Alligator mississippiensis: one gene and its partners. The protein of the gene in region 1 purifies or fractionates together with the protein of each later gene. This does not show direct contact. Links are inferred from orthologs where the notes say so. Each region holds a gene or a part of one and is shown in the gene's direction. Other genes may lie near its edges. The genes, in order: LCK, UNC119, KHDRBS1 and SH2D2A.

Evidence for each region.
Region 2: the proteins of LCK (region 1) and UNC119 purify together in Homo sapiens (affinity purification with western blotting; 3 studies listed by BioGRID and IntAct, with this or other methods). This does not show direct contact. The link is inferred for Alligator mississippiensis from reciprocal best matches to the Homo sapiens genes LCK and UNC119.
Region 3: the proteins of LCK (region 1) and KHDRBS1 purify together in Homo sapiens (affinity purification with western blotting; 5 studies listed by BioGRID and IntAct, with this or other methods). This does not show direct contact. The link is inferred for Alligator mississippiensis from reciprocal best matches to the Homo sapiens genes LCK and KHDRBS1.
Region 4: the proteins of LCK (region 1) and SH2D2A purify together in Homo sapiens (co-immunoprecipitation; 3 studies listed by IntAct, with this or other methods). This does not show direct contact. The link is inferred for Alligator mississippiensis from reciprocal best matches to the Homo sapiens genes LCK and SH2D2A.

What each region holds. Positions count from the first base shown.
Region 1 is NC_081829.1:5,615,426-5,622,656, forward strand, and holds the start of LCK (tyrosine-protein kinase Lck), read left to right. Parts: upstream 1-4,222; 5' UTR 4,223-4,563; intron 4,564-7,231. UniProt on the Homo sapiens protein: Non-receptor tyrosine-protein kinase that plays an essential role in the selection and maturation of developing T-cells in the thymus and in the function of mature T-cells. Plays a key role in T-cell antigen receptor (TCR)-linked signal transduction pathways.
Region 2 is NC_081837.1:1,020,663-1,028,380, reverse strand, and holds the start of UNC119 (protein unc-119 homolog A), read left to right. Parts: upstream 1-4,715; 5' UTR 4,716-4,773; coding exon 4,774-4,960; intron 4,961-7,718. Other genes in the region: PIGS (GPI transamidase component PIG-S), read left to right, coding at 308-397, 709-800, 1,301-1,511, 1,914-2,056, 2,136-2,250, 2,574-2,719, 3,169-3,269, 3,588-3,798 and 1 more. UniProt on the Homo sapiens protein: Involved in synaptic functions in photoreceptor cells, the signal transduction in immune cells as a Src family kinase activator, endosome recycling, the uptake of bacteria and endocytosis, protein trafficking in sensory neurons and as lipid-binding chaperone with specificity for a diverse subset of myristoylated proteins.
Region 3 is NC_081829.1:5,791,968-5,799,404, reverse strand, and holds the start of KHDRBS1 (KH domain-containing, RNA-binding, signal transduction-associated protein 1), read left to right. Parts: upstream 1-4,433; 5' UTR 4,434-4,536; coding exon 4,537-4,867; intron 4,868-7,437. UniProt on the Homo sapiens protein: Recruited and tyrosine phosphorylated by several receptor systems, for example the T-cell, leptin and insulin receptors. Once phosphorylated, functions as an adapter protein in signal transduction cascades by binding to SH2 and SH3 domain-containing proteins.
Region 4 is NC_081838.1:16,650,710-16,658,436, forward strand, and holds SH2D2A (SH2 domain-containing protein 2A), read left to right. Parts: upstream 1-4,790; coding exon 4,791-4,799; intron 4,800-4,859; coding exon 4,860-5,026; intron 5,027-5,449; coding exon 5,450-5,539; intron 5,540-5,703; coding exon 5,704-5,869; intron 5,870-6,318; coding exon 6,319-6,456; intron 6,457-6,533; coding exon 6,534-7,226; downstream 7,227-7,727. UniProt on the Homo sapiens protein: Could be a T-cell-specific adapter protein involved in the control of T-cell activation. May play a role in the CD4-p56-LCK-dependent signal transduction pathway. Could also play an important role in normal and pathological angiogenesis.

The sequences.
Region 1 (7,231 bases):
TTGCAGGCTGCTGGCTCTGGCATCCTGCTGCCTTGCTTGCTCCTATTGCCCAGAGGTGCCTCATCTCTCCTTGCTGAGTGTCCCTTGTTGGCGATACTGCAACAGCTTGCTTGAAACCAGACCTGGCAAGACTGGGCCAGGGCTGCCCTGATCGCCTGGGACCTGAGGCATGGATGGAGCTGGGGAAGTTGGACTCGCCTCACTTCTGTCTTCAGTCCTCAGCTCAATCCCTTGCAACTGGAGGGATGTGCGCTGCAGAGGCTGGCGGGCAGCAGGGGAGCTGAGCCCTGCCTACTGCCATCACATTTGGCCTATTGGCTGCCTCCTGTTGCCCTGCGGTGGCTTTTGCCCTCTCGCTCCTCAGTCCCTGCTCCTGGGGGGTCTCTGCTGTATGGAGCAGCATCTCCAGGATGCACAGAGCTCTGCATTTGCCATAACCCCTGAGCCTGCACAAGGTGAGCAGCCCTGCAGCCATGTGGCGTGCACAAGGCGAGCCAACTGTTCCCAGCAGCATGTGATGCTGTCATGGGAGGGGAGGGAGCATCGCTGCTGGAGCATCTGCGGCTGCAGTGACGCATGCCACGTTGCTGGAGGCTGCTTGCTGATGCTGAAAAGCATGAGCAAACTTTCCATGCAGCAAGAAGAGAAGGCGGTGCAAAGGCGGCTTGCCTTCTGTGTGTCGCATGTGCTAGTGGCCTCCTTGCCGCCCCCAGACTTGTCTGATCCCAGGCTTGCACAGACGGGGCCTCCCTCCCCTGTGCCACACACCTACGTCGAAGCCCCTACTGCTGGCCTGACTCGGCCTGGGGATTACTTCTGATCAAGCCATCTAATCCATATTCCCCCAGCCTTGCGCTGAGTGGGCCAGTCCCCTCCCCCTCCACGCTGCTTCTTGGTAATGGCGGAGGAAAAAGGCGGCGAGCACCTTGGGTTTGTCGCTTGCTTCCGCTACACGCTGCTGTTTCCATTTGGTTTTGCTGAGGCCTCAGATGAGAGGGGTGCCGGCTCTATGGGGAGCCGGTGAACAGCCCCACCGAAGCAGGTGCCTTTGTTTGGCCACATGCATGGCAGCTTCTGTGTTTCATGTTCTCTCCGGCTTGTGTGATGACTTACCCGCAGCTGGGAGACTTCGGGTTTTTTTTCCTCAGCCCTGCAGGGGCTTGCAGTCCCCACCCTGACCCCTTGTTTGGGAAGCTGATTTTTCCAGGGAACGTTTGTTCCTTTGGCTGAGAGTGATGAACCCTGACTTGACACTTTGCCGCGGATCTTGGAGCACGGTGCCAGATCTGTGGAAGCTCACAGCCTCTGCTGAGGGCCATCGACCAAAGAGGGAGGCTGCTGCTGATGGAGGCATGGGTTGAAAGTAGTACAGCCTGCTCCAAGACACCTGCAACTTGGGGACAGAGCTGGGAGGAGAATCCAGGGGCCCTGTGTCCTGGCCCCCTGCTCGGCTCAGACCCTTAGTGAAGGAGCTGAACCCTGAAACCCTGGCTGCAAATTTTCAGCCCTAAGTCCCGCAGCTTCTGTTAGAACAAATTGCTGCTGGTGCAGCGAAGAAGCCTGCTAAGGATCTTCTGGCTCCAAGCCTTCAAAGAAAATACAGGAAGATTGTCAGAGCTTCACAACACTGAGATCCCATTGACCTTTTTCAAACAAAAAAGCGTTCTTATTTTGCCTTGAAAAATGGACTGAGTCCCTGTCCCTCCCCGCCCCGATGCTTTATCATAAAAGCAGTCAATATTTTTGCCATTTTTCAGTGTTTTTGATGATAAAAGAGGATGCTAGATTTTTTTTTTAATGATCTGTGCTGGCAGATGGGAAGTGGGTGCTGATGGTTTTGTCGCTGCTTTCCAGTTGCAGAGAGGCTGAAAGCCTGACATATCCTTCGCAAAGCGAACCTGTCTTTTTTTGTACAGTTGCCATAACAGCAATAAAAATGATTGATTGATGCTTTGATGGTATTTATTTATTTTTTGGTCCTGAAATATCCTAAAGCGGGTTTGCAAACTTTTACGCCATGCAAGAGGCTTGTTTTGCCTACCACTGAAACACAGCCTGCTTTGGGGTGGGTCAGAGCAGCATGTTAACGAAGCAGAGCAACATTAGGACAGGAAGTGAAGCTGAAACCACATCCAGTCAAACTGGGAGAGGAATTCAGGTCTGCAGGTACATGAGCAGGAGTCTGGACAGGATGCCAAGTTGCTAGGTCAGCTGGGTGGAAGTGCTGAATTGAGGGTGTTTTAATCATTGCCTCCTGCTCAAACTGCCCTTTCCGCTAGCCCCCTGGAGAAGTCTCTCCGAAGACAGCTAGCCAGAGCCCAAGCTAGAGCAACATCCATACGCGCGTTGCTGCCTGTGGGACAATTGCTGGCATAAAGATCGCAGCTGGGCTATGGGGAAGATGGAGGCGCTTCACTCCTACGGTTGCCCTTGTTGTTCAAAATGCCCCTGACATGTGCCCGGGCATATCGCCCTGTATGGAGGTCGTGGCCCCCCCGTCGAGCCTCTCTCCCCTGTTGCTCTGTGTCATATTCTCTTGACTTCCTGCCTTCCTTCTTGCAGAGCTGGCTGTTGGTACCTGTGGCTTTGCATTTGATCTCACAAGCCAAGACAATAGCTTTGTGGTTCTCGTGCTGTCAGCACTGGCAGAGCGTAGGGCTTCGGAAAGGTAACATGGAGTGCCTCTGAAGACGATGTCTTCGCTGCTCAGCCCCTCTCTGGAGAGGAAAGAAGAAAGCCAAGCCCTTGCTCTCTGTCAGAGAAGGCTGGCTCAGTTCCCCTGTGGCTCATTACCTGCCTCTCTCACGGCCTGGCATATGTTTGCTCTCTGGGTGGCGATTCTGGAGATGCGTGTCCTGGTGCCTCTGCCACCGACTGGCTGTGTGACCCTGCCCATGTTCCTTCCTTTTTCTGTGCCCCTGTTTCCACTCCCACCTTTTATTTTTCCCCTTCTTTTTAGTCTGCAAGCATTGCAGGGCAGTGGGTTTTCTCTCGCACCATGTGTGCAAAGTTTGGGGCTTTGTGCAAGTGGTGAAAGATGAGGTATGATGGAGGACTGCTGGGGAAGAGAAATTCTGTTTCATTTCTCAACAGAAGGCAGGCTAGATTTACATCTTATAGACTAAGTTGGAGATAAGCTTTTGGTAAGCACAGGGCTCTCTCACTTATTGACACTGGGCTTTCAGGACATGTTCACACCTCTGAACCCTTCACCCTCCTTGGCCTTGTCTACCAAAGTCCAAGCAGAACTGCTGAGTTAGCAGCCAAGCTGCAGCTGCTTGTGGTCTGCTCTTGGTGGTGTGTTCAGGCCCTGGTACTTAGCACATCACCCAGTCACCGTGCAGGACGTGAGTCAGGGGTGCATTTTGCTCTGTCTGCTGGTAACGGTTATCACTTGTGCGGTACAGCACAGAGTAGGGGGAGATCATGACATGGAAAATGATTCGGCTGTCCTGCTACAGCTCCAGGGGCACAAGTTCAAGTCTTATTCTGGACGCATGCCAAAGGCTGCCCCTTGTCAACCAAGGTGGGTATGGGCACTGGACCATTCAGGCTGGAGAATCATTAGGATTGTGTGTTTTGGGTAGGGGGACAGACTGGCTTTGATCTTGTTGAGAGTATTGGCATCATTATGCTGGACATTGTGCTGGGACCTTGGATTCGTGGCAAAGATAAAGAGACCCCTTTAACAGGAGAGCAAGGCCAGCGCCGTGGTGAGGGAGCTATCCAGGGACTCGGGGTCAATTCCCTGCTCTGCCACGTGGGGCTTGTGTGACCTTGGTCATGTTGCTTAGCCCCCCACCTATGCCTCAGTTTCCCGAGGGGAAATGGCACCTTCTTACCTTGCAGGGCTGCTTATCCTCAGTGATGCCGGGGACTGGGGCCATGTCAGGGCCATGGAGAGAGTTCCAGTTTTGTGTGCATCAGGGCATAGTCACCCAAACTTGGATCTTTTAAACTTTTGCATTGCCCTCCTGATATGCGCAGCATATCACTTGGCGCCTAATTAGGATGTAGGCCAGAATTCACCCCCACACTCCTACCTTCCCCCACATGTGCACTCTTAACATCCTCTCTTTACAAGACCAGCCGAAAGCATCTGCAGTACGCCGGGTGCTGCATGTCTCTCACTGGACTTCCCTGCGGGGTGGTGGGTGGCAGCAGGAGTCACAGCCAACACCTGTGTCGGCAGTGGGGAGATGATACCCAGGCAGTGACGGTGCCCCTCTGTACCGGCAGCTTCCATCTTTAGAATGACGGGCCTGCGGATGGCAGGAAACCTCCCTCGCTAGCATGCTGTGGTCGGGCGAGTGCTGAGAACAAACTTCTAGAGCTTGCTCATGAGATTGCAGAAGGCAGGAAATCAGGGAAGGCAGAGTGCGAGAGCGAGCGAGACCGTGCTGCTGCCATTCCCTGATGTGAGGACAAGCTGGGCTGCTGTCCGGGAGGTTGTATCCATGGTCTACACCCCGAGGATGGAGACTAGCATGTGACTGGGAAGGTGCTTTCACTCACTGGCCATGGAGATCTAAAAGCAGCTCAGCTCCATCTCACAGCAAGCAGGTAAGGGAAGGGCTGGGGCCGTGTTGGGTGAAAAGAGCTGTGCCTTCGGGCTGGGATCTGGGGATTGCTGTCATGAGCGGGCACGGAGTGGCACTGGGGTCTGTGCCAGCTCTTCCCTGGCTGGGAAGCGATGGTTCCTCTGGGGAAGAACGACATCTTTGGGGAAGGACTTGCTTTTTGGTGGGGGTGAAGTGAGACTATAAAATGGGAAATGAGTCCATCACTATGGTATCAGGCCAGTACACAGAGGAGTCTGGCTGCTTAGGCTGGTCGCGGTTGGGGTACGGGGTCCTGTTTGAAAGACCTTTGGACTGAAAGACCCATGTTTGCCGTTGAGCTGTTTGAGTTCTTGAGTTGCTGCCTCTAACACAAGCCCTCATCTCCCTGCCAGCCCTCCCCAAATCCTACTAAAACTGCTTTCTAAGGGGATCCCCAGAGGGACTGTCCCCAGCTGGAGTGAGGGTGAGGAGTCTAGTGAGTCACTGCTTCCAAAGTCCCAACTTCCAGGGCAAAGCGAGGAGGAAAGCTGGGAGTTGTGCCCTGAAACGTCAAGCGCTCTGTCTAATCTGCCTTGGATCTCCCCGTTCCTGAGCTGCCAGCCTTGAAGCTGGGAGCAGGCTGGAGGGTCTGGTTGGTATGGGGCTGTTTTGTCTTGGAAGTGAGGAGCAGGGCAAATCCGTGTCTGCAGTGAAAGGTCACTGAATTACCCCTGGCTGGTATTGTGGTCTATAGCTTCTTAAATGCAGACTCAGTGCAGAACTGCCTGCTTGTCTGAGTTCAAACCCAAATGCAGCTGCAAACCCAGGCTGTGTCCAGTTCTCCAAGCTGCCCCCTTTGAAGTTGCCTCTCTGCTGACCCCAAGCCACAAGAAATAAGAGAAGGGACCAAGGGGCAAAATTCAAGCTGTGTGGATCCAAGATTTCGAGTCGGGACCATAGACGGGGTAGCTTGGCAGCTGTGAGCCTGAGGCTGCTCAGACTGTTATCCGGTCCCCCTGGTCTTGCAAAATATTCTGGGAACTGGATCTTTTGGGGCTGACCTCACTGGTCATATGAGAGACACGGGGGTCATTCCTGTGGGCAAATCGGTACTGTCCGAGGCTGAGGGTTGTCTTTTGTGGTGAGCAGTGACTACACTGACTGCCGCGTTTGCTTTTTAAATGTGGGCGCTGTTGTCCTTGGTCAAAGCAAGGCTACTGCAGCATGCTTCGATCGGGGGTGTGGGTCAGATGAGAGAGGACCACAACATTACTGGACATCCCTGGCATATGTTCAAGGGAAAATAGTTTCTCTCGCCTTGCCATGCTCCACCTCCAGCACATTCCTCCTGAACCAGGGGGCCCAGCCCGATCCAAGGAGAGAGGTGTTCCCGCTCCCCACCAAGTCTCACCCGGGCTTGGCATGAAGACGCATAGAAGTGCAAACACGCACACGGATTCGAAGACAGATGCCATCATTCAGATAAACACATAGCCCTGTGACTGTCAACCAGGAGATCCTTTTTGGGTGTTTTGCAATATTAGCGCTGTTAAGTGTGCAAGCACCTACCCACGGGTCAAAGGCGAACCCAGCCATTCCCGATAGGAATCCACAGTGTCAAACCCATCCTGCCCTGCTGCAGGCTTTCCAAGCTCTTTGCAGCAGAGAAATGGCTGCCTTATTTTTCTGCAGTCAAAAACACGAGTGCAAGTTAAGAGCTGGCATTTTCTGAAGGGGGCCTCAAGTCGAACAGGCTGGAGAACCAACGATGCAGTTGCACAAATGCGCCCGGAGGCAAGCAGAGATGCACACACACCCAGAAGAAACAAGGGCAAACACGGACAGATGAGCACACACAGTCGCCCAGACAACTGTGCAGAGCTGCAAACCCACGGGGACCCGCACGTACATGGGACCGAAGCTAGGCAAACACACAGACGCAGGCATGCACGCCCCCCCACAAACTGACACCAAACTTCAGTTATGCAGGCAAAGCCAGTCACCAGAGAGAAACAAAACAGACTTCAAAGTAGCCCCAGGTGCTGATCAGGTGATACAGCTCCTCTGTGGAAATTATTTTGTGGCTTAAGCAAGAAAGACAAAAAGAGTCGTGTCCCCGTCCCCCCCCCTCCGCCCCGACTCCTGATTCTCATAGGAAGGGGGGCACCCCAAGCGTGGCATCATCTGCATTTCGCTCACAGTCATGTTTCAAATGCTTGATTGTATCTCTAGGGGATGCTGTTTGAGGGAGTTGCTTTTCTTCCACAAGGGTGGATATTTCTTCGATTTTTCCACCCCTCTCTTGCTAAATGGGAGATACAGAAGTTGCATCTGCCTGGCTCTCCGGTAGTCCGTGGGGTGCCTTTTACAAGATGAGGATCTAGCATCTCCTGCATTTCTCCAGAGCAGCGGTTCTCCACCTTTTCTGTACCAGGACCCACTTGTAAACATCGATGGCCAGTCCTGACCCAGTGCCCCTCGCTCCCAACCTGCTGCCCCACTCCAGGCCCCCAGTGTGTGGGGTAGAGGGTGGGTATGGGGGGCCCCAAGCAGCCCCTTGCAGGCTGGAGCTCTGTCAGCCTGCAAGGGAAAAGCCGTGGTTTCTTCTCCTATAAAGGAGAATCCATTTTTAAAGTTTGTTCATGACCCTTTCACACATTCTTGCAACCCACTTTTGGGTTGCAACCCAC
Region 2 (7,718 bases), on another chromosome or scaffold:
GTGCTTTCTGCTGCCGTGCTCGGGGGCGCTTCGTGCCTCTGTGCCAAGGCTGGAGCGGGTCTCGCTGCAGCCCTGGTGAGAGCAGGCGCTGGGGGGAGAGGGCAGGGACTCCTGACCGACCGCCGCTCTCCTGGCCACCCCCAGCCTGGGGGATCCTCGCAGCCAGGCCGCGCGGAGCCGCGCACGCGGGGGCATCTCCAGGAGCGGGGCTGGCACTGTTGGCCAGCAGGGCTCGCAGCGTGGGGGTGAGGCCGGGGAGCCCGTGGCTGGGTCCAGTGGCCTCACTCGCGCTCTCCCTTCCCCGCAGTGAGGACCAGCGTCGCCGCCCGCTATGAGACCGCTTACCGGAGCGCCACGGGCCAGGAGGAGGCAGCCTTGGCCCTGGGCACAGTGCAAGGTGTGGGGACGGGGCAGCCCAGGGCATGGTCCTGGTGGCTGGCTGTGCCCTGGGGGCGAGTGGGGCAGCCTGGGAAGTTGCTGTATGCGGAGGGATGCAGCTCTTACCCCAGGGCCCTGGGGGATGCACGCTACCCTTCCCTCTCCCCCACCTGCAGGGGCCGGGCAGGGCTGGGCGGCCCCAGGGAGGGGAGAAGCTGGGACCCTGGGGTGGGGGCAGTGCGGAGGTCTCTGTCTGTAAGAGCTGGTGGTGGGGATGCCCTGCCTTGGGTTCACCAGCACCGGGGTGACCGATGTCCTCGTCTTCTCCAGAGGCCGATGCGGCACTGCTGCCACTGCAGGGCGGCTCGCTGGGCTCACTGACCATCTACATCATCCCAGAGGCCTCGTCTCTCCTGCCACAGGTACAGCCTCTCCTGCTGCTGGGAGTGCCATCCAGCTGCCCATCTTGCTCGGGACCGACCCTCTGTGCCTGGCGTCCCATCACGGGCTGCCCTCCCCGGAGCAGCTCGTGGGTGCCCCTGGCGTGACTGCAGTGGGTGGGAGCTTGTCCAGCGAGATCCCCTTGCTTCTGACCCTGCCCAAGGGTGGCTGCGGCGTGGGAAGCAGCCGAGCCTGGGTTAGGTGCAGCTGCAAGACCTCCCCGACTGCTGCAGGCAGGGACGCTGTTCGTCTGCCTCACGGGTTTCTCTGCCCCTTCCCTCCTGGCTGTTCACTGTCGGGACAGGCTCTGTCCCCATCCCTGTCCCAGGGACAAGCCTGAGGGGCTGGGGCAGGGGTCCCTGCAGCTCTCCCAGCCCCGTCATCCTGGCGTCCCCATGGGCTGGGCCTTGCCCTGGAATGGGTGGAGTGGGCACGTTCTGCCACGTCTGGCTCTCGCTGCCCTGCCCGGTCTTGTCTGCAGGGGGTCAGCGTGTACATCGGGAAGCACCGCAGCGCCGTGGTGAGGGGCCCACCAGCCGCGGGGGATGTCCTGACTGCGGTGAATGCCCGGGTGCGGCATATCGCACAGACCATGTCCTTCACCCCCGACTCCATCGCTGCTGCTCTGTCGGACCGTGTGCCCCTGGGCAACCTCGGCTTAGACACCCGGCGCCCCTTCAAGTCCAGCCTGGGTAGGGGCTGTGCCTGCCTGCCTGGCCGGGTGGGATGATGCCTTCCCATGCAGTCAGGGCACTGCTCACCCATGGGAATCCTGTGCCAAGCTTGCCCGGCTATTCCCTCCCCCACGGGGGCTGTGGTACTGACGGTACTGTCGTCTTTGCCTGTGGCACAGGGCAGTTGTTGAGGCCCAAATGTTACCCCTCTTGGTACTGGGTGAGCTGCAGCTCAGGGTTTGCACAGGGTGGCACTTTGGGGTGTGCTGAGGCTGGGTAGGTGGCACAGGGGCCCTGGGCCAGCGGTCACTGTGTGACATGAGCTGCATGGCATTGCTGTGCCCCGAATGCCTGGGACGTGCCTTGCCCGTCCCCATCGCAGGGGCCACAGTAGCAACCTCCGTGCTGTGCCCCGCCCAGGGTATGAAATCACCTTCAGCCTGCTGAACCCCGACCCCAAGTCCCACGACGTGCGCTGGGACATCGAGGCTGCCGTCCGTGGCTATGTCCAGCCCTTCCTGGACAAGCTGAGCTTTGTAGCCAACTTCACTGTGGACTCGCAGGTGAGGGCTGGGTGAGAGGGGTGGGCGCCTGGGCAGTGGGGAGTGTCCGGAGTCACTCCTCTGTGCTCCTGTCCTGCAGATCCTGTACTACGCGATGCTGGGGGTCACGCCCCGCTTTGACAGGAACTCCTCCAGCTTCCTTCTGAGTGCGCACAGCCTCCCGCACGTCATCAACCCCGTGGAGGCCAGGCTGGGTAAGTGCCACGCAGCCTCCCTGCTTCACTTCTGCACCCAGCCCAGTTCTACCAGACACAGGCTGTGAAGCTGTGGCCGCTGGTCCTTTGGTGGGCAGGTCCCCGGGGGCATGAGGATGAGACCAGCACAGTCCGCTCAGCTTGGGGCCCATGCGAATCTGTGCTCAGGGTGCCGGCATGGATGAGAGGTGCGTGTGAGCGGGTCAGGCCTGGCCTGGCCTCTCTGACTGCCCCAGCAGAGGCAGAGCCCCTGTGAGTGGCTGGCCCGGTCCCTGTTGGCACCTGTCCCCAGTAGCACTGAGGCTCTCGCTGTCCCTCTCCAGGCTCCAGTGCTGCCTCGCTCTTCCCGGTGCTGAATTTCCTGCTGTACGTGCCAGAGCGAGCCCATTCCCCGCTCTACATCCAGGACCGGGATGGGGCCTTGGTGAGGACCAACGCCTTCCACAGCCCCCGCTGGGGCGGGATCATGGTAAGGACCAGAGCTTTGGACTCTAGTTGGAGCAGAGCCTGTCCCGTACCAGCGCGAGGGCTGTGGCTCCTGGCTGAACCATGGGGCCTGCCCAGGGGCAGCATCTCCCTGGCTTGCTGCACGTGTTGTTGGGGCTTTGGGGCGATGAGCCTGGCTGTGGGTTGCATGTGGGGCCGTCCACGCCACAGCGCAGGAGAACTGGGAACATCCCAGCAGCTTCACCTGCCTGGGCATAGCAATACATAGGTGCAGCTTCCTGCACCTGCGGGTTCGTTCTGCTCGCTGATGGATCCTTGCCTCTTCCTCGGGCACACAGTCTGAGATGAGACGGGGCTAAAGAGTCCCTGGCCATCTCCCAGGCAAGACTGTGGTGCTGGCTGCAGAGGGCTCTGCCGGCCCTAGGTTGGGAGGGTGCCCGTGCTGAGCTGTCCCGTGTGCTGTCTTGGCAGGTGTACAATGTCAAGCACCCGGCTGCAGACGAGGCCCCGCTCCCACTGCGGGTCGATGTGGACATGGTGCGAGTGATGGAGGTCTTCCTGGCCCAGCTGCGGTGAGGACACTTCCCAGCCCGTCCTCCCGGGGCTGGGCACACAGATCAGGCCTTCCGGGAGCACGCGCCGGGCAGCGCAAGGCTGACATGCCCCACTGGTGCTGAGGGGAGGAGGCTCCGGGCCCTTTCTGGCCCCAGCAGGTCACAGATGAGCCATTCCCTGCAACCTGGTGGTTCACCAGGGCTCAGTCCTGCCCCTTCTTCCAGCACGTCCAGATGCAGGAGAGGCAGAGAAGAGCTGGTATCATGCTTGTGCCCTGTCTCTGTGACTACGGCCAAGGGCTGAGGCCTCCCCTGATCTGCCCCCTCTGCTTCCAGGCTGCTCTTCGGGATTTCCCGGGCACCGCTCCCAGGGGAGTTCCTGCTGGAAAACCCTGGGAACGCAGGGCTGGCGGCCTGGGAGCTGGACCGCCTGCTGTGGGCCCGGACGGTGGAGAACGTGGCCACCGTGTCCACCACCCTGACCTCCCTGGCTGAGCTGCTGGACAAGATTGGGAACATTGTCATTAAGGACGACGTTGCCTCTGAGGTGGGCGTCATGACGGAGCAGGGCCCTGGGGAAGCCTGGTGCTGCCATGGGTGCCTTCCGCACACGTGCCCGGGGGAGGTTGTGCTGGAGGGGCTGGCAATAGCTGCTCTGAACCAGAGGGCTGGAGCAGGCACAGGTGTTGGGTCCAGCTGGAGTGACAGACGCCCCTGTCCTGCGGCTGCGTGCCTCTGTAGCATCCTATTCCCCCTGCCCCCTCGCCCTGAATCCCTAGGTGGTTTCAGTGGGGACGGGAGACCCCCTGCTCAGCCCCCAGTCCCTGCTGGCATCGGTTTTAAAAGCAAGCATGTTCCTGGCAGAGGTGCTCGCTGTGCCTGCCCCGTACCCCTGGGCTCGTGGGGGCTGGGAGCCGTGGGGGTGCCAGCTCGCTCTGGGCCGGGGCCCCGGGGAGCTGGGAGAGGGCCGAGGCACGGTGGGGACCGGGGCACTGAGGGTGTGCTCCCACGCAGGTGTACCGTGCCGTGGCCTCCGTCCAGCAGGCGCTGGAGGAGCTGGCCGCGGGGCGCCTGGGCGCTGCCTTCCAGGCCAGCAAGGAGGCGGTCACCTCCTCGGAGCGGGCCTTCTTCGACCCCTCGCTGCTGCATCTGCTGTACTTCCCCGACGACCAGAAGTTCGCCATCTACATCCCGCTCTTCCTGCCCATGGCCGTGCCGCTCCTGCTCTCCTTGGCCAAGATCCTGCGGGAGGCCAGGCGGGGCAAGAAGGAGCCCACCAAGACGGACTGAGGCGCAACAGGGGGGCCGGGGGCGGGTGCTGGCGGCGGGGCTCGCGGGCGGGCCCTGCGCCTCCCACCAATACAAGTTGAAGCCGGACGGGGCCGTGCGTGTCCTTGCTGCGGGCGGGCGGGCGCGGAGGCTCCTCCCGGGCGGGCGGAGCCGGGCCGCGAGGGAGCGGCGGCGGCGGCCGGAGCCGGGGCGCGGGGGATTTGCGGGCAAAGGCGCTTAGTGCGCGCGGGGGATGAGCGAGCCCGCCCTCCGCGCCGACACGGGCTGCGGCAGGGAGCGGGGCGGCGGGGCCGGGGCCATGAAGGTGAAGCGGAGCAGCGGGGCCGGGGCGGCGGCGCCCGCCTGCACCGAGGACGAGCTGCTGCGCAAGGCGCTCATCGGCCCCGAGGACGTGCTGGGGCTGCAGAAGGTCACCACGGGTGAGCGCGGCATGCTCCGCGGTGCCCGCCGCCCCAGAGGCGGGCCGGGGCGCGGGGAGGCGCCTTCCTGCGGGCGCGCGGCTTTGTTCCGCTGCGGGGCAGGGAGCCGCCCGGCCGAGCCGCTCCCGTGGGGCCGCCGAGCAGGCCTCGTGCCCGGGGCCCGGCCTCCGCCCGGGACCGCGGGAGCCGCCCGTCGGCAGGCCCCGGGGGCAGGGGCGGCGGGCGCGGCGCCCAGGCTCCTGCGCCGGGGGTTTGCCCCGTGCCCCGGCGGCAGGACGCGCTGGCGAGGGGCGCGTGGCCGCCCCCAGGGTGCAGGGTCTCGCGTGGGCTGTGACCCGGCGGTGGCAACAGGCACTGAACTAGGCCTTTTGGGCCCCCCCCCCGGCACGGTGCTTCTGGTCGGGGGACGTCTGCGCGGGCCCTGCTGCTCTGCTCCGGGCCTCGTCTAGCATCCTCGCAGCTGCGCTGGGAGAGCTGGGCCGTGGGCCTCGGCTCGGCAAACGCTCGGAGCCGGGCGTGCTCCCTGGACAGGCCCGGGGATGTGGAGGAGGAGCACTGCTGCAGAGGACAGCTCGCAGCCCTGCCCGGTCCTGCAGAAGGCGCCGTAGCCGGTGGGGTGCCCGCACCGGCTTTGCAGCGAGACCCACGTGGCCTCCGATAGCGTGGGATCGCAGCTGAGTGCCCCCGGGCCTGCCCGTCCTCTGGGCCGTGGTGCTTCGAGCAGCGAGGCTCGGTCCAGGCCTGCTCAGGAGCAGTTGGTGCTGGTCGAGGCGCCCGGCTGGCATAGCGAACCGCAGGCAGCACGCTCCGTGCCTCGTTAGCCCGTGTTTGCATAGTCCGGTGGCAGCCAGCCTTGCACCACAGCTGCTGGGGACAGCGCGCGGGTGCTGCTTGGTTGGTTGCATGCTTGGTGCTTGCGGGGAAAGCACTCCATAGCACCTGCAAAGAGCCACCGTCGGGCACGCATCGGTCTGAACGTTCGCTCTGCCTGGGGCTGCCCCAGCTGCTCTGTCTCTGGCGTAGTGGAGGTGGAGAGCCTTGCAGGATGGGCAGTGCCCGGGGCACAGGCTGCCCCAGGCTGGATTGAGCCGGGCTCTTCTCATCCTGTCCAGCACCAAGAGAAGCCCACGGCAGGCCCCGCGGGGCAAGGTACTTTGCCTTGCACAGGGGCCTGCTCAGCATTAGCTGTTGGCTTAAACCCTGCAGCCGGGCTGAGGAAGGTGGCACCCAGGTCAGACCATTGGTGGTAGCTGCGCCACTTGCCCCGGCTCGCCCATGACTCCTTTCCGCTGAGGCGAGTGAAGCCTTGCCGTCCGTGAAGGACCACGCCATTACCAGAGCCTGCGGTGGGTTCACGGTGCTCCGCGGGTGTTTGCTACTCTGTGGGGCTGACTCCTCCACTAGCCAGGCCTGTCCGCGCGTTTGCCGGGCACCAGGGTGGAGAGACCTGGGTGTCAGACCAGGGTGGAGAGACCTGGTTCCCAGGGGCCTTGACTGGGTGCAAGGATTGGGGTGGGGGCTGGAGAGCTGCGGGCAGGCAGCCTCCATAAGAGAAGCAGCTGCTTGGCCACTGCTCCCCACAGCGTGCTGGGCACTGGCTGCCCTGGAGATCAGCCAAGCAGGTGGAAGAAGCTGCCTCTTCCACGGGGGTCGCTGGCACAGCCCACAAGTGCCCGGCTCCTGGGAGCTGTGAACCACGTGGCACAGGGGCACTTGCTTCCAGTGCATGGAAGCTCGTCCGGTCACAAGCGCAAGCGAGGAGGCGGGGAAGCCAGCTGGGCTCTGCTTAGCGTGCCCCTAATATGCTTATGATGGCAGTTATCCTGGCTGTCGGTGTCCTCTCAGCGTGAAGCTCTCCGTGGCTGCCTGCTCTGTGCCAGGGGGCACGTCTGGGGCAATGCCCGTGTTCTGGGGCTGCCTGGCGGGCTCAGCTTTGGCCTGGGTGCTGCAGAAGGCAGCTGCAGCCTTGTCTTGGCTGGTAGCTGGGCCCTTTCGCTTGCTGCCCAAGAGAGGAAAACCTTACCACTTGATTAACTGGGGATTACCAGGGCTGGGGGCAGATTGTGATGAGTTAGCAGCCCAGCAGGAGGGCAGAGACGTCTGTCTGTCTGCCTGCCTCCTCACAGCCCTTTCTGAGCAGGTAGCCAGCCTCTTGCTGGCTCTCCTGACTGAGGCCTGACAGGGGCAGTGCGCTGCCCACATTGCTGGCACCCAGGCATCCCCCCCGCACCTGTCCTGACCTGGGCTGTGGGCTTCCCTGGCCATGCCGGGTGTGGAGCCGATGGGTGTGTAGGGGATGGGGTCTTGCTGACTTAGAAGAAGTCTTTGCCTGACCTACTAAAGCTGATCTGCGAGGGTCCCGGGCACCTGCAACTGGGCAGCCCCCAGGTGTGGCAAGGGAAGCCCAGCCCTGCACTTGGTCATGACCAGACTAACCCCAAGGGTGGGTGAGGCCCCAGTGAGCGGCGTTGGACGGTGCCCTGTTACAAGCCCTCATCCACCCACAGTCCATGCCGTCGGGGTCGAGGCAGCGATGCTGGGCTGCCCAGGGCTGGCCCGGCCCCACGAGCCATGCTGTGGGCTGGAGCGGCAGGAAGCCCTTTGCCGTGCGCCACCCGCCTGCCCCTCGGATGCACATCCGTGCTATTTCTGGTCATCGCCCAAGAACTTCCAAGCGGATAATCTCCTAATCGCCAGCTCCTCAGATTCATCTTCACTTGTCTTTGCCGGAGACCTGGCTTATGTCTGGGGCACCAGC
Region 3 (7,437 bases), about 180 kb from region 1:
ACTGGGCCCTGCCCCACTGCCAGCTGCACGGCCTGTCCGTGGAACGTGCCTCCAGGTTTGGGGATGTACCTGCAGGGACACCCATTGCTCCTCTCCTGCAGTTCAAGCACACAAAATACCGATCTCATGGAAGAGACGGACAGTGCCAGCCAGAGGGGCAGTAGGACCAAGAAAATGAAGAAAGGGCCGTGAAAGCCATGAGATATGTGGATATGACTGCGTCCATGAGAATCTAAAGCAGCGGTTCTCAACCTTTTTAGACCCCAGGCACCCCTCGTTAAGACTGGAGGCCCCCCTTGGAAAGTGCCAGTTCTTAATTTTCACTCATTTGTTTGACTCCAGCTCTCCTGTTGCAAAGAACTCGGAAATACCACAACAGGGACACAATGTTTTTAACACTATGGATGCCTATTTGAAATCTCAGGATTTATCCTGTGAATCATGTTTGCACCCATAACTGTGCTAACAGTGTGTGGCACCCTGAGGCACCGCTGAAAGGATTTCAGGGCAACCCAGGGTGCCGCAACACCCTGGTCGAGCATCCCTGATCTAAAGTTACTTTTTGTTGCATCAGTCCATGGCAATGAAGGCCTAGCTTTATTTTATAATTTTGCCAGCTTGGCAGCACTCCTTCCACATTTGTGGTTGGAGTCATTTTTTTTTCCAGACTGTCTTGGACAAATATAACAAAAGCAATAGGAAGGGAGAGAGAAAAGGAGAAGGAAACAAGCAGGGTGGGAAAGCTAATAGGAAACCAGGCTATTTGTATGAGAGGTGGTGGGTTGGGGAAGAGATGCACTCGTGACCTCAGAACCCCATTCAGCCCCAGCAGATGAGCTGAGCTCATTGTATCTCTGCTGCAGATCTCCAGGAGCAGTTCCCAAAAAAACTGGGTCTGACAGGATGTCTTTGAAAAATACTCCACTAGGACCAGGCCCAGAGAAAACGTCTAACTTAGGTCTTGTTTTGCTTCTGCAGTTTTGCTCAGATGCTGGGGACCAGGAGCGGTATCAAACCTGGAGATGTTTGCACCTCAAGGATTGGGAAGAGCTCCTGGCCAGGGTGCTTTGTAAAGACAAGATTTGACAGAGGGAAGAGGGGCTGATTCACAGGTGAGTTCAGGCACCTCGTAGCTGCAGCGAGTGGGGAGGATGTGTGCAGGAGCAGGTTGTGATCATCCCAGTCAGGGTGTGAGTTAGTAATAGGTCCTCAGGAAGCTCTTGATGTGTTGCCTTCCCCAATACAAGAAATAAGGGCAGGTAAGGAATTGCTCTGCACGTAAGTTCTCCACTGCCTAACTTGGGACAGTTTCAGTCCACTTTCTAGCATGTAGCTAGGTGGAGAATCTGGCCCAGAGGGAGGAGCACAGAAAGATGGAGAGCGACTCAGAGAAATGAAGACAACTGAGTGCAGGCAGCAAGGCTCAGGCTTCTGCTGTCTGAGCCCCAGAGGTTTCAGAAGATGTAATAGAAGCAGGCACAGAAGCTGTGCAGAAAGGAAAACCAGCAATGCTGACCGTGGAGAGGGGAGGCTGGATGCACTGGGACAGTTTCTAATCCTCTCTTGTGGTATTGAAATAGAAGGTAGAAATCCTGGGGCAACGATGACCCTTTAGCAGGAGCTGGGATGGCACGGTGGGTCCTAAACAGCCCGTGTGGTGCAAGCTAGTTCTAGGTCTTTGGGAACCTTATGCCAGTTCAAGATCACCTGTGACAGACCTCTGCTGCGTTGTGCCCCATGTGTACACCCCATATGTGCAGGTGTGACTGGGCAGCTGGGGTGGCTAGGCAGCACGAGACAGGTGAGAAATGCAATCAGGGAAAGGCAGGCAGGGAGAAAGGGTTAATTAATAGGGAGCTGGGTGAAGTGCGTGAGAAAAACAATCTCATGGATGCGAGACTGAAGACAAGGGAGAGAGCAACTGAATCCAGGAGAGTGAGAGCAGAAAAGAGCAAAGGGCAGCAAAAGAAAGCCAGGCAGTGCTAGGCATCCAAAACTATGCCATGCTCCTAGCTATAAGAAGCTGCCCTGCTGCATTGAGGTTGTGTGAGTAATAGTAGCTTAGGTGCATGGATGGGACTGTACATTTACTTGTATTGTACAAACATTAACTACTGAGTGAAGGGTTTGTCCAAACAGCACATTCAGTAAAGATCCATGCGCACATTGCTGATTGTAGCCAAGTGAGAGAAGTACAGAGATCTGGGATCTGTCACCTGCTGGCATCAAAGTTTCTCCTTCATGGGCTCTTTCCCCAGCTTCTTCTATTCCAGGGGTGCTCAACCCCTAGCCTGCGAGCTAAATCCAGCCCATAGAGCTGTGACGTCCTGCCCACGGGGATCTCTGCAGGGTGGAAAAAACTGGCAGCTGGGGAGCGAGGAAGCTCCATGCAGTGGGATCCAGCCTTGCCCAGGCCATTGCCGCACAGCAGGATCAGGGACAGGCCTGCCCCTTGTCTATCCGGATCTGGCTGGGCGGCTCCCTGCCCCCTCCATGCGTCCAGGCAGAGGCCACTCCACCCCATCGGCATCCGGATCATGGCTGGGCTGCTCTCCACTTCCACCCCCGATGTGTCTGGATCAGAACCAAGTTGCTCTCCACCCACCCCTCACCACATCCTGATCGGGACAGCTCCATTCAGCGCCCCCACACACATCCAGATGGGGACCAAGCTGCTCCCCAACCCCCTGTGGATGGATCTGGGTCAGGCTGCACAGTCCCCTGGGCTAAATGGAGTTGCTCCAGCAACCCCACGTTCTGGCTGGGTCGAGCCCACCAGCCTGATCCAGCCTGCGGCCAGATATGGCACTGCCCATCTAGTCTGTGGGGTGAAAAGATTGGGCACCACTCATCTACTCCATGCGTTAGAGACCTGGTTGAAATATAGTTCAGTCCCAGCTACACCAACAAGACTCCTACCATGAAGTCAGTCCTGCTATCAACAGAAGTCATATTGCATACAGGCAGAGTCTGAACCCAAAAGACAAGTGCAGGCTCTGGGTCGGGGGGGGGTTGTCAATTAAGACATTCGGAGATCAAGAAACTTGCCTTCCTCAAATGAGCTTTCTATATGCTGCCATCACAGACTGATGGAAATAAAAATGCAGAAGACTCAGCCTCCCTGCTTTAGGACATAAACGGATCTATGCGTATACTATTTGTATACACTCTGGGACAATGAGATGAATCTGTCACTTACAGCAGCGGTTCCCAATCTGGTACGGGTACCACCACCGGTACGCAGAGAACCTGTCAGCGGCACGTGTTACCCATGGGCAACTGGTGCCGCCTGATTCAGGGGGACACATGCGAGCGCGGCCTGTCAGGGGGCGCACCCCATATGCATCGCGACTAGTATTAACAGATGTATTATCATTACTTTATATGACAAAAATTTGCTGGTGGCACTTAAGGTTGCGTTGTTTTAAAATGATGGTGCGCTGTCAGAGCTTGGGAACTGCCGACTTATAGGATAATTACTGCTGATGTTGGCTTGGCAGCCGAGGGCCATGCCCTCGCCGGTGGTTGAAGGAACGTGTCCGCTAATGACCACGCAGGGGCCTTCCAAGTGGAGGTCGGTCCTGCAGAGCACCCTTTGGGGGGCTTTCTGGGTGTCATCAAGATTTGCACCAAGGGATCCCCATGCTAACCCAGCCCCCCAGGGCTCCTGCGCAGTGCACACACGGGGTGGGGGCGGATTTAGAACCAGTGCACCCAGGTGCTTCGTGTCGCAGTATCAGCCATAGGAGGCTTGCGTGTCAAATGTGCTGCAGGCTATCTGGCAGGGTCCGGATGGGCTCCCAGGCAAGCAAGGCCAGCCTGCTAGTGCTCAGGGAGGGGAGCATGAGGCCAGGGCTGGGCTGCTTTGCTCCAAAGATCCCAAGGTCTAACCCTTACCCCCGGCCCCAACTCAGGGCTCCATCTCTCCCGCCACACCATGCTGGCCAGGCCCAAGCCAGGGAAGGACCCGCGCATGCGCAGAGCGGCAGCCAGGCCATGCCCTGGGCAGGCAGAAGACGCACACGTGCGTCGAACTCCTGCAAGGGACGGGGGGCGGGGAAGAGGGAGGAACTGTAACGCGCATGCGTTGCGATCGCTCCCGGACGCTTTGTTCGCCCCAAGGCTGCGATTGCGCGTGCGCAATGCAGCCCCTCCCCGCGTGCTAGGCTTCTACGCATGCGCACTGGGCCCCCTCGGTACTTTGTTCTCGGCGGAACGAGGCAGGGCCGCTGCGCCTCTGCGCAGGCGCAATGGAAGGGGGCGCTCCTTTCTTTTTTGTTTCCTCCCGCTCGTTGCGCATGCGCACTCGGAGGCCCTGCGCAGCGCGTCTCAGCCGGCGCTTTGTTCTCGGCAGGCGGCCGGCGCCGCGCAGGCGCGGCGGGAGGGCGGCGCAGGCGCAGTGCGTCCGGAGCGGCGACGGCGGCGGAGCGGGAGCGAGCGGCGAGCGCTTCCGGCCCCTCACTTCCGGTCCCGGCCGCCGCGGCCCTCGGTGTGGCAACGCTGTCCGCCCCGCGCCGCCCGCCGCGCTCCGCGCCCATGCAGCGCCGCGACGACCCCGCCGCCCGCCTGGGCCGGCCCCCGGGCCCCGGCGCCCGGCCGCAGGCAGCGCAGCCCCCGCGCCGGCCGCCCCGCGGCGGGGCCCGCGGCGCCGCCGCCGCCCACCCGCCGGGCTCGCAGCCGCCGCCGCTGCTGCCGCCCGCCGCCACCGCCGGCGCCTCGCAGGCGCCCGCCGCCGCGCCCACCCCGCTGCTGCCCGGCGCCGCCGCCGTCAAGATGGAGCCCGAGAACAAGTACCTGCCCGAGCTCATGGCCGAGAAGGACAGCCTCGACCCGTCCTTCACGCACGCCATGCAGCTCCTCACGGCAGGTACGGCCGCGGCGGGGGGGAGGGGCGGCCCTGCTCCCGTCCCCGTCCCGTCGGTCGGCTGCCATGGCAACAGCGCGGGGGGAGGGGGTGGCAGCCCCCCCGCCGTGTATGAAAACCCAACAGCATTAGGAACCCCCCTCCCCAACCCTACAGTGGGTGGGTGGGTGAAAGGCAGGCGGAGAAGTTTCTCGGGGCACGGCCCCCTCCCAAAACCGACCCGCGGCGAGACGGGGAACGGCTGCCTTTGTTCTGCGCGGTTGCGGCTGCGCGCCCGCTCGGCTGCCCCAGGGCAAGCCCCTGGGGGGGGGTGGTAAGCAGCCGGCGGAAAAGGATTTTGCTTTACATCTATTAATGAAAACGGCGCGCGCTCCTTGCGAGCTGCCCGATGACGCCCCGGGTCCTTTCAGGCGATGATGCCGGCGCTGGGGCGGGGATGGGTGTGTGACATCGCCTGCCCGCCGACTCCAGGGGAGTTGCTGCAGCGTATCCGGCATCGCCGGCGTACGTCTGATTCCCGTATCGAATAATTTTATAACCTTGTTTTGATCCCGACTTAACTGCTTTTGCTCCCCGCCGTCTTCAGCCGCCTGATGTGCAGCCGCGCTCTGCTTGCTCCGTGCGGCGAAGGAGATGTTAGGAAGCTCCTATTCTTCCAGGCAGGTCGGTGTCCTTGGCCCGCTCGGCAAAGATCCGGGTACCGAGCGCCGCGCCGAGGTTTTGTATCGGACGTTTCCTTAGTCCGAACAACCTGGCTTGTGAATTATATCGGAGCGCTTGCCTCTGCAGTTGATCATCGCTTATAATTTAAGAATCCTTTTTTATTTTTCCTGTGCTGCAAAATCAGTTTGCTTATTTGGATTGCCTTGTAATGTGTTGTCTCGTGTGGCGTTTAGGATGGCGTTAGTCAAATTTCGAGGTCAGATGAGCAAAGGATTCTTGATGCAGCCGTTAAAAAATGAATTTTACAAAATGAATTTATAATTCTTCTTGTGGCCTCCTTCTCCCCTGCCCCCACTGATTTTTGGTCACTCGGCATATCCTGCTTCATCAAAGGGTGCTGTATAACATCGGTGTTGAAAAAGTCGTTAACCTTAATTTGGAATTTCAGGTTGGGGCTAAAGAGACTGAAAAATGTAAATGCGGCCAAAGCAGGTTTCTGAGGCAAAAGGGTTTTTCAAGCAGACTCTTAAAATAGCTGTGGTTACTGAACTTGAGCTGTATCTGTGCACTCTAAATTGGAGCCTTACAGCTGGCGGTTTTCAGACAATGCATGTTGCGCATGTTCCTGCCTCTGCTTGCATTTCCCAGGAGTTCCCCTTGGAAGTTTTGTCTTGAAATGAGAACTGTTGGCTCAAGAGCAATATTCTGCAGTACTCTAAAATGCACGTGCAAACTCCAGCTTTACTTTAAAAATACGATCAAGGAAATCAGCATTGATTTAAAGGACAGATGAAAGGGCTATAATGTAGTTGGTTTCCTGATCAATGGACAAGAGAGAGCTGTTTTCTAGGTCACTTGAACATGGGGATCCTGATGCACAGCTTCATCATGAGAGCTGTGTGTGTTTGAGCCCTTTTTCTGACTTTATGATCCAGGATTATGGGTTATCAGAGCAGTGAGTATGACGAAGGGATCACTAGAGCAGTGTCATAGCAGTTTAGGGATGTCTGAGCAACTGGAAACAATGCAAAGCGTTAAAACAATGAGGAATATAGAAGGCAATAAAAAGTTAACTGAAGAGGGGGGTGGAAAGGAGGAGGGGTCACAGCTTTGCAGGGGCAGGTGTTAAGGAGTAACGTCTCTGTTGATGCCCTTAAAAAAGTCCCCACTAATACTGTCCTAGTCCCTGCACTGTTCTGTATCCTCTTCCCAGTTCCTCAGCCTGTAGGTGGGTCCCATGCTGATGGCTGTTGTTCTGTGTGAAGGAGACTGGTTTTGACATTAGGAGAAATAAAGGGAACATGGTTTAGGAGCAGTAAACAGGATGTCTCAAGCCAGCTTTCCCTATCTGCCACCTCCAGCTCTGTGGCAGTAGTTACCCCATAATTGGATGGAATAACTACTGTCAAGGACCAGACGGGGAGTAGGTCAGTTGGAATGAAGTGCATGGGAGTGATGAAAAGTTCATAGTGAAAGGGATGGCCCAAAACCTTTGTTAATGTAGAGGTAAGTTTGCCTGGTACTGCCTCTTGCCCTTCCAGAACGTGGGTAGTAGTGGCTAAATGTAAAACTTGGAGAACCAGGAAGGAAAGGACTTAAGGTACACCCCCCCCAAAAAAACAAAAACACAGCTTAACTCTCCTGTAAAACATCAATACCGTGTCCATGCTTTACTCTCATAGATGGTAGTGAGCACATGAGCACTAATGATGCAAATTCAGCATGTGTTCTTTAAGACAAATCTTGGGTTTGGGTCAGGTGTAATGAATGGGAGCAGCCTAGGCTCCATTGCAGATGTGGCTGTTGCCCATCACTAAGCCCTGGAGACTGTAGAAACATATGTCTCTGTGCAGCTGACAGTCCCCATGGCAAGAAGGCATCCTTGTGTACTTCTGCAGAAATAGCCTGCC
Region 4 (7,727 bases), on another chromosome or scaffold:
AACTATTTATAACTATAATTATATATATATTATTTCAACTATATGACACTAAGCAGTGGGGAAGTGCAGCCACACATCAGGATAGGCTAACAGTCCAGGCAGATCTAGACAGATTAGTTAGATGGGCAGACCGGATCCAGATGCCGTTCAACACTGAGGAGTGAAAAGTGCTCCATCTAGGGAGGAAAAATCCACAACAAACTTCCAGGCTCAGTGGTGTGCCATGTCCGAAAGGGACCTGGGAGTCATAATAGCCCATAAAATGAATATGAGCCACCAGTGTAATGCTCCAGTTAGCAGAGCAAATAATACTCTGGCATGCATCAACCAATGCATCTCAAGCAAAGCTAAGGAAGTTATGCTCCCACTCTGCTTGGCATTGGTGAGGCCGCAGCTGGAGTACTGCGTCCAGTTCTGGGTGCTGCACTTCAAGGAGGAGGTGGAAAAGCTTGAGAGAGTCCAGAGAAGAGCCACTCGTATGATTAGAGGCCTGAAGAGCAAACCATGTGAGGAGAGGCTGACAGATACGGGACTGTTCAGCCTAGAAAAGACAAGACTTTGTGGGGATTTGGTGGTAGCTTACAAATGTCTCAGGGGAGAGCATCAGGGGCTAGGCAAACAACTATTCACCAAAGTGCCCAGGGGAAAACCAGGAGCAATAGTCATAAACTCCTAGAAGAAGGTTTCAGGCTGGATATAAGAAAAAGCTTCCTCATGGATGGTGTGATCAGACTCTGGAATAGACGCCCAGCGGGGGTGCTGCAAGCACCTACCCTGGAGATCTTCAAAAGGAGACTGGATGCACACCTTGCTGGGGTTATTTCACCCCAAGAGTCTTTCCTGCCCAGAGCAGGGGGGCTGGGCCTGATGATGCCACAAGGTCCCTTCAGGCCCTAAACTTCTGTGTATCTGTGGGGAAAAAAATGCCCAGCCCTGACATTAACTCTATCCTCCCTTTGCAATTGGGGAGAGGAGTCACAAGAGGTCCGGAGTGAACCCAAGTGTCCAGAGTGAACCCAGGTGTCTGGATCTCCTGTAACCAGAGCAGGACCTAGACCCCAGAAATCCTGGCTTGGTTGCCCACCCTAGCCAAGGAGAAGCCCAGGCTGGATCGCACCCTGGCTCTCCCTGCCCCTGACTTTAGGCTCACATCCATGTAGCTGATCTTACAGAAGGGCACAACTAAGCAGTTAAGTGTGCAACATCTGGGATGTGTAGAGGGAGAGGGTGGTTTTACCAACCTGGCAGGGGAGAGCTGCTTCTTCTCAGCCTTGCATAACTTGGAGACCTGGCCCTTGCACCATGGGCGGGCACCCCTGCAAAAGCCTCCAACGCCAGGATCTCAACTACACAATTCCTGGTGATGGTGGGTTGCTCTCGGGCTCTCCCTCCAGCTTGCTCCTTCTGGCTCAGGGCAAGTGAGACCAGGGGGCAGCTGGACCCCAAAGCCTCCGGACTCAGAGCTTGCATGTAGGTACCTGCCATGGATTTGGGAGCATCTGAAGCCCCAGGGAGGTAGGGACTGGCTGGAGGTAGTGCTGCACAGACTGGAACGATTGAGCTCTATTCAGTCAAACTTAATTCGGAAAGGGATTTAGCCTGGAAAAGAAAGTCTATTAATGAAACCTCCTCCCCCCAAAACAAACAGTGAATGGCACTGTAACCAAAGAGCCCCAGGCCTCCCCACCTGGTGACTTCTCCCTTCCTGTTGCCACTCCAGCCCTGGGCAAACACAGCTTGGTGAGCCTTGCACTGGGCTCAGCCTTGCTGAGCTGGGCTGAGCCCTGGGAAACCCAGGCTGGTCTGTGAGATCTGGCCCCTTCCCTGTGGCCCCAGGAAACCTGCCGAGGTTGGAAGTCCCAAGCCCTTTGCATCTCGCAGCCCTGCTCTGTGCCCACGGCCTGTCCTGTTGCAGCTTGTCTGGCTTTATTACCTGCCTCTACCTGCTAGGCACCATGTCCCTCTAGTACAGAAGACACCCAGGCCTGTGCCCCAACCTCCTGCTCCAGCACCGTACGATGGCAAGGGGGTCTACCCCCACCCAAGAGCAGAGAGTCCCTACTTCAGTGGGATCACAGCTGGCTCCAAGGAGCTGAGATGCCCCTGCCCGTTTCACCCCTGGAGGCACCAGAGCCTGGTGACACAAGTGATGTGACCAAGGGCATGCAAGGAGGCAGTGGAAGAGCTCTCATGCAGGGGTGCAGCCTCTGTGCTGCTGTGGAAGCCCCTGATCTGGGGGGTCTGGTCCTTGTGCCCTCCCCCCCCAAAGCAGCCTGATGCCAGCAAGACCCAGGCTCCTTCAGCCGCCCCTCATACCCATGCATGTGGGGGCCACCCCGAACCTGGCTGAGCCGGGCCCATCTCAGACACCTGCCCCAGATAGGGGCGGGGAGTGTTCCCCCGCTGCGGGCTGCTTTTCCGTGACGTCATGCTCTCTTGCTCACCCGTGCCTTGTGGCTTTGCTCGCCACTTCCTGCCCTTCGAGCTTCCTGCCAGGCAGGGGCACACTCAGCGCCTGGTCGGGGAGGGGGCCACAGGCTTGGCATTGCCCACCCAGCCGGCTTGGGTGCACGCATGGACTTCGCCGTCCAGCCAGGGCCTGACAGAGGTAGGAGCAGCTTGGGGGGCGGAGGGGGAGGGGGGTGACTCTGGAGGCAGCGAGGGCTGCTTGCAAGGTGCTTGGGGGTAGACTCCTCAAATCCTACAGCTTCCTGGGCCTGGAGGGGCGGGTGGAGGGCTGCTGGGTGCCCCCCCCAGCTGGCAGGACCACCCCAGCATTGCCAGGAGGGTAGGAGGAAGCCCAGGCCTGTTACAGAGCTGGCCCCAGGAGGGATCCAGCTGTTGAGGGGGGCAATACACACCCCTGCCTGGAAGGACTTGGGCTGAGACCTACCTCACTCGTTACATGTCAGCCCTGCAATGGGTCAGGCTCTGCCCCTGGGCTCAGAGACCAGATCGCGGGCATCATCAGGGATCAGACAGCAAGGTCAGGAGCTTTGTTGTGCTCCATTATTTTGGCGTTGCACAAAACAGAACGCGAAGGGTGACATGGGCAGAGCACCGGGGCACCCATGTCTCAACAGGTTTGTTTTCTAAGCATCGTTAATGATGCTTCCTATCCTGTCTCACTTCTGTAACCGTTCAACCTCCCCTCAAATACCCACCTGGGTCTCGTTGCGCCAGGATCACAGTCTTTCCGGTGCTAGGCGCTGCACGTTATCACACAGCCTTTCCCCATGTCCTGGGGGGGTTGAAGAGACATCACCCAAGCTCTCAGGCCCCATCCACGCGCTCTCACTCCCTAGCCGAGCAGCCAGGGCAGCTGAAACTTTCTCAGCACAGGCGAAGAATCTGGGGCACCAACCAGCACAGGAAGTTTATCTACGCGCCACCAAAACCTGGCCCCGGCCTGGTTGCATAAGGCGGCCTCTGCTTTGGGCCCGCTCCAGGGCGGTGCTGAGTGCGCTGCAAGCAAACCCCAGGGTGAAGATGCAACTGTTCCCCCTGGGGAAGTGTCTTTCCAGCCCTCCTGGCTTTTACGGGGAAACAGATGTCCTCAGGGGCTGGCTGTTCACTGGGGATCCCATCCCTTCCCCCAGCGGCGCATGAAACCTGTGCGGGAGCTGAAAGGCAGCTCCAGACCTTTGAGCCTTCCAGGTTGAGCATTTGGGACTGTCCCCTCCTCTCCAGGGATGAAGGACAGAGTTTGGGGAAGAGGAATGAGCTGCAGTCGCCCCTGTGCTCAAGGCTCTCCCCCCAGGCACAACAGTCCCTGGGCCTCAGTTTCCCCATCGCCAAGTGCCTGGAGGGCAGGTCAGGAAGGAGAAATGTCAAGCTCACGCGCAGGAACCAGCAGCCCTCAGGCTCAAGTATTGGGGCGAGGGGGAAGATTTCCCCCAGAGTCTACCCAGGAGCGCCCCGATTGCAAACAAAACCCATTGCTTTTACACTCACAAACCCCGCATCAGGGCCCCGGGGCAGCCTGCGACGTGGCTGCACCCCGTTCTCTGCCCTGCCAACGCCCAGCTGCATTCCCAGGCGTCTTATCAGCCTCACTGCGCTGCCCTGGACCCCTGCCAGGGCTTCTGCATCCACTCTCCGGCCCAAATCTGGGCACCATGCTCCTGTCACATGGCTGGGGAGAGCCAACCCCCTCTACACACACACATGCACCCACATACACGCTTGTGCATGCCCCTGGCACAGTCACCATTGCTGCAGCCGCCTTGTTGGCTCATGTCCAGGTCCCCGCATCCCCGGACCTCTTTGCAGGTCCCGAGCTCCTTACCAGATCTCATCTTCCGCCCCCAGCCCCTCCCTGGGGGCTTCCCCTGCTCCTACTGCTGAAGGGAGGGTCGGAGCCAGGGCAGGGTGTCGAGGCAGGGCCTCATCCTGCATCTCTCTACCCTGTGCAGGAGCCGATGGCCTGGAGCCCCCAGAGCCCCTGCTCTTCAGTACCTTCCATCCCCATGGCCTGGGCAGATCTGAGGGCTCAGCCCCAGCCCTGGAGGAACGTAGGGCGGCCTCAGCTGGGCCCCAGCAGGGACAGCTGCACCCCAGTTCCCAGAGGGAACAAGCCCCTTCCAGCCAGGTAGGTGTTGGGAGCCGCAGGCCGGGGAGGGCAGGGCTGTGCAGGGTTTGAACGGGGTCAGAGTGCAGTGTTGGCACCCTGTCTGCCAGCTATAGGTAGATAATAGCCACGCTGCAGGACCAGGGCAATTCTTTCTGCCCTTCCCTAACCCTATTGCTAACCTTAACCCTTGCCCTGCAGCTGCGGTGGGCAGTCCCCCATGCACAAAGTGGGTTGCAGCCCCCCATCCTCATGCAGGGCTCTTTGGTTCTCCCTTCTCCCCCCGCAGACCCCTTCTGCCTCAGCTGCTAGGCTACCCTGGCTGGTCCCAGGCTCCGGCGAAGCTGCGGCTGCGCTCCGGGCCAGCACCCAGGCTTGGTTTGAGCAGACGCAGGCAAGCAGGGTCCTTCCTGATGGCCAGCGCCCCGACTGGTTCCACGGCTTCCTCAGCAGGAGGTGAGGGGCGGGGGGTGCTGGGAGCTGGGGTCACCTCGGGAATAGCATTCCCCGGACCATCACGGACCTGCACCCCCACGGGGATACAGCGCTGGGGCGGGAGTAGCAGTGGGGCCCAGCGGTAGAGCAGGAGGGAAGGGGAGCCCAGACACCTGGGTTTTCTTAGCTGCCCTGGGGACCAGAGCAGAAACCATGGGAGCCAGGACGCCTGGGTTTCTCCCAGTTCTGGGGAGGGAGCGTTGTTGGGTGGGCAGAGCCAGGAAACCTGGGTTTTTTCCCTTGTTCTCAAGCTGGGCTTGACTTGAGATGCCCTCAACTCTGCTTTGGGCCAAGCACCGGGTGCCCCGGGCTCCGAGCAGCATGGGTGCTCCAGGCTCCCATGTGCTCAGACGTGCCCACGTGTCCTTCTCCCTCTCTGCGCAGGGAGTCCGAGCAGCTGCTGCAGGACAAGCCGCTGGGCTGCTACCTCATCCGCTTCAGCGAGAGCACAGTTGGCTTCGTGCTGTCCTACAGGTGAGCACCTGGGTGTCCCTGGCGCCTGCCCCCGATTGCCCCTGGCTGGGATGAGGGCCCCAGGAGGCAGATCAAGAGACGCGCCCATCACCCTGGCCCAGCCAGGCTCTCACCTGTGACCCCCAGCCCAGCCAGGCTCTCACGCGCTGCCTCGGTTTCCCCAGGGGCTGGGATCGCTGCCGGCACTACATCCTGGACCAGCTGGAGGATGGGCACTATGTGATCCTGGGGGAGGATAGTGCGCACGCCAGGCTGCAAGAGCTGCTGCAACACTATGCCTCGGCCCCCATCCATCCCTACTACGAGCTCCTCACCATGCCCTGTGCCTGGGTAAGAGGGGCCCTACCACGCTGCCCCCACCTGCCCTGACACGTCTAGACTGCCAGGGCAGCAGCAGGGGCTTGTTTCTGCCACATGTGTCATAAGCCTTGTAGCGTCACTGGAGATTCTCCAGCCCGCACAAAAGGGGCATGGGCAGCAGAGACAGAGTCAAAATCACAGGCAGGCAAAGAAATAGCCCCATTACCCTTCCCCAAGCTACAACAGGGCAGGATTGCACCCATTTTACAGGGAACATGACCCCAAGCTGGGAGAGGGGAGGGCAGAGATGAGAAAAAAACCCAGGCATCCTGACTCTTACACTCTCCACCCAATGCTGGGGGGTGTAGACCCCAGGTTTCCTGACACCCAGGCCTGTGCTTTGGACCTGTGCTCTGCACCCTCTTCGCAGCACTGCTGTTGCTCAGCTCTCCCTTCTCCTCTCCCAAACTTTGCTGCAGAGTGACAAGGAGCCGGTGGATACCGGGATCCCGGCAGGGGCTGAGGCAGCAATGCTCCCCCATGCTGCATTGAGCCCAGCATACAGCGTCGTGCACAAGCAACGCCGAGGCACCAGCCAGGGCTGCTCCTCGCCAGAGGTGAGTTGGGACCAGATGAGGGGCAAACACGGTTCTGTTTCTCCAGCCCCAGACTCACCGCATCTTTGCTTCCCCAGGCTGCCTGTCCTGGCCCCCTGCTCCCTGCCAAGGCCACTCGGGTCCCCAGCAGCCCCTGGATGGACACAACACCCCCCACCCCTCCCTCCGCTCCTGAGGCCAAGTACCAGCAGCTACTGCGCTTCCACACCTATGCCGAGCCCCGCGAGGGGCCCGTGCCCCCAGAGCGGCCCGTGCCCCCCGAGCGCCGCATCTACCATGAGCCTGATGAGCCCATCCCCTTCTACGCCGTGGGCCGGGGGTCGCCGCAGGACCTCGGCCCTGAGAACATCTACTCCGAGGTGGACGTTGTGCAGGAAGTCCAGCTCACGACCTCCACGCTGCCCCCTGGCCTCAGCCGGCCCCGGACGTTCCCCTTGCCCCGCCGGCTTCATCGCAGCGTGTCCAGCCAGGGCTCCAGGCGCCATCGGCTGCCGGCAGCTCCCAGCAGGGACAGGGGCTCCTCAAGGCCGTCCAGCCCAGTGCTGCAGGTGCGTTCCAGGGGGGCAGATGCTCTTCAAACCTGGGGCGAGTTGCTCCCCCTGAGAAGGGACCGCTGGTACCTGGGGCCTGGCCCCTCTGGAAAGGAGAAGCCCCGAGTGGGGCAGAACCCAGGCATCAGGGGTCTCCGTGCAACACCCTACCTGCTGACACCAGGGCAGGGACAGATCCCTTCTGACCCCCACCAAGAGCCAGGCAAAGGCACGGAGTAGAACCAGCCTCCATCGTGTGCCCCCTGTCCCCTCCAGGTGCTGCCACCCCCCCAGCTGGAGTTCGACGACCCCGTCTATAGCAGGAAGGTGCCCATCTGGAGCGGCACGATGCCCGCCACGGGCCAGGAAGGGCTGGAGAACGTTTACGAGCTGCTTCCAGGAGATAGACCTCTGTCCCCAGGAACGGGAGGCTGCAAGGCCTAGGTAGGAGCTGTGGACCTACCTCCATCCAACCTACCCACCCACCTCCAGGGCCTGTGCCATGGACGATCCCTTTGTCTGGGACAGGGATCAGAAGAACCAGCCCCAGCCTGTGCCCTGAGGCAGCCCTGCCCATGCTGGCTCTCCCCAGCACTGCTGCTCCCAGCTCCTGAGAGAGGCAGGAGTCAGGGTGGGGAAGGAACAGGTTTGATCAGTCGAGAGCAGGGGCAGGGGATGCCCAGTTGCCTGTGTTATGCCACAAAGCCCATAGGCATGATCTGAGCTCCTGGGCTGAATCTT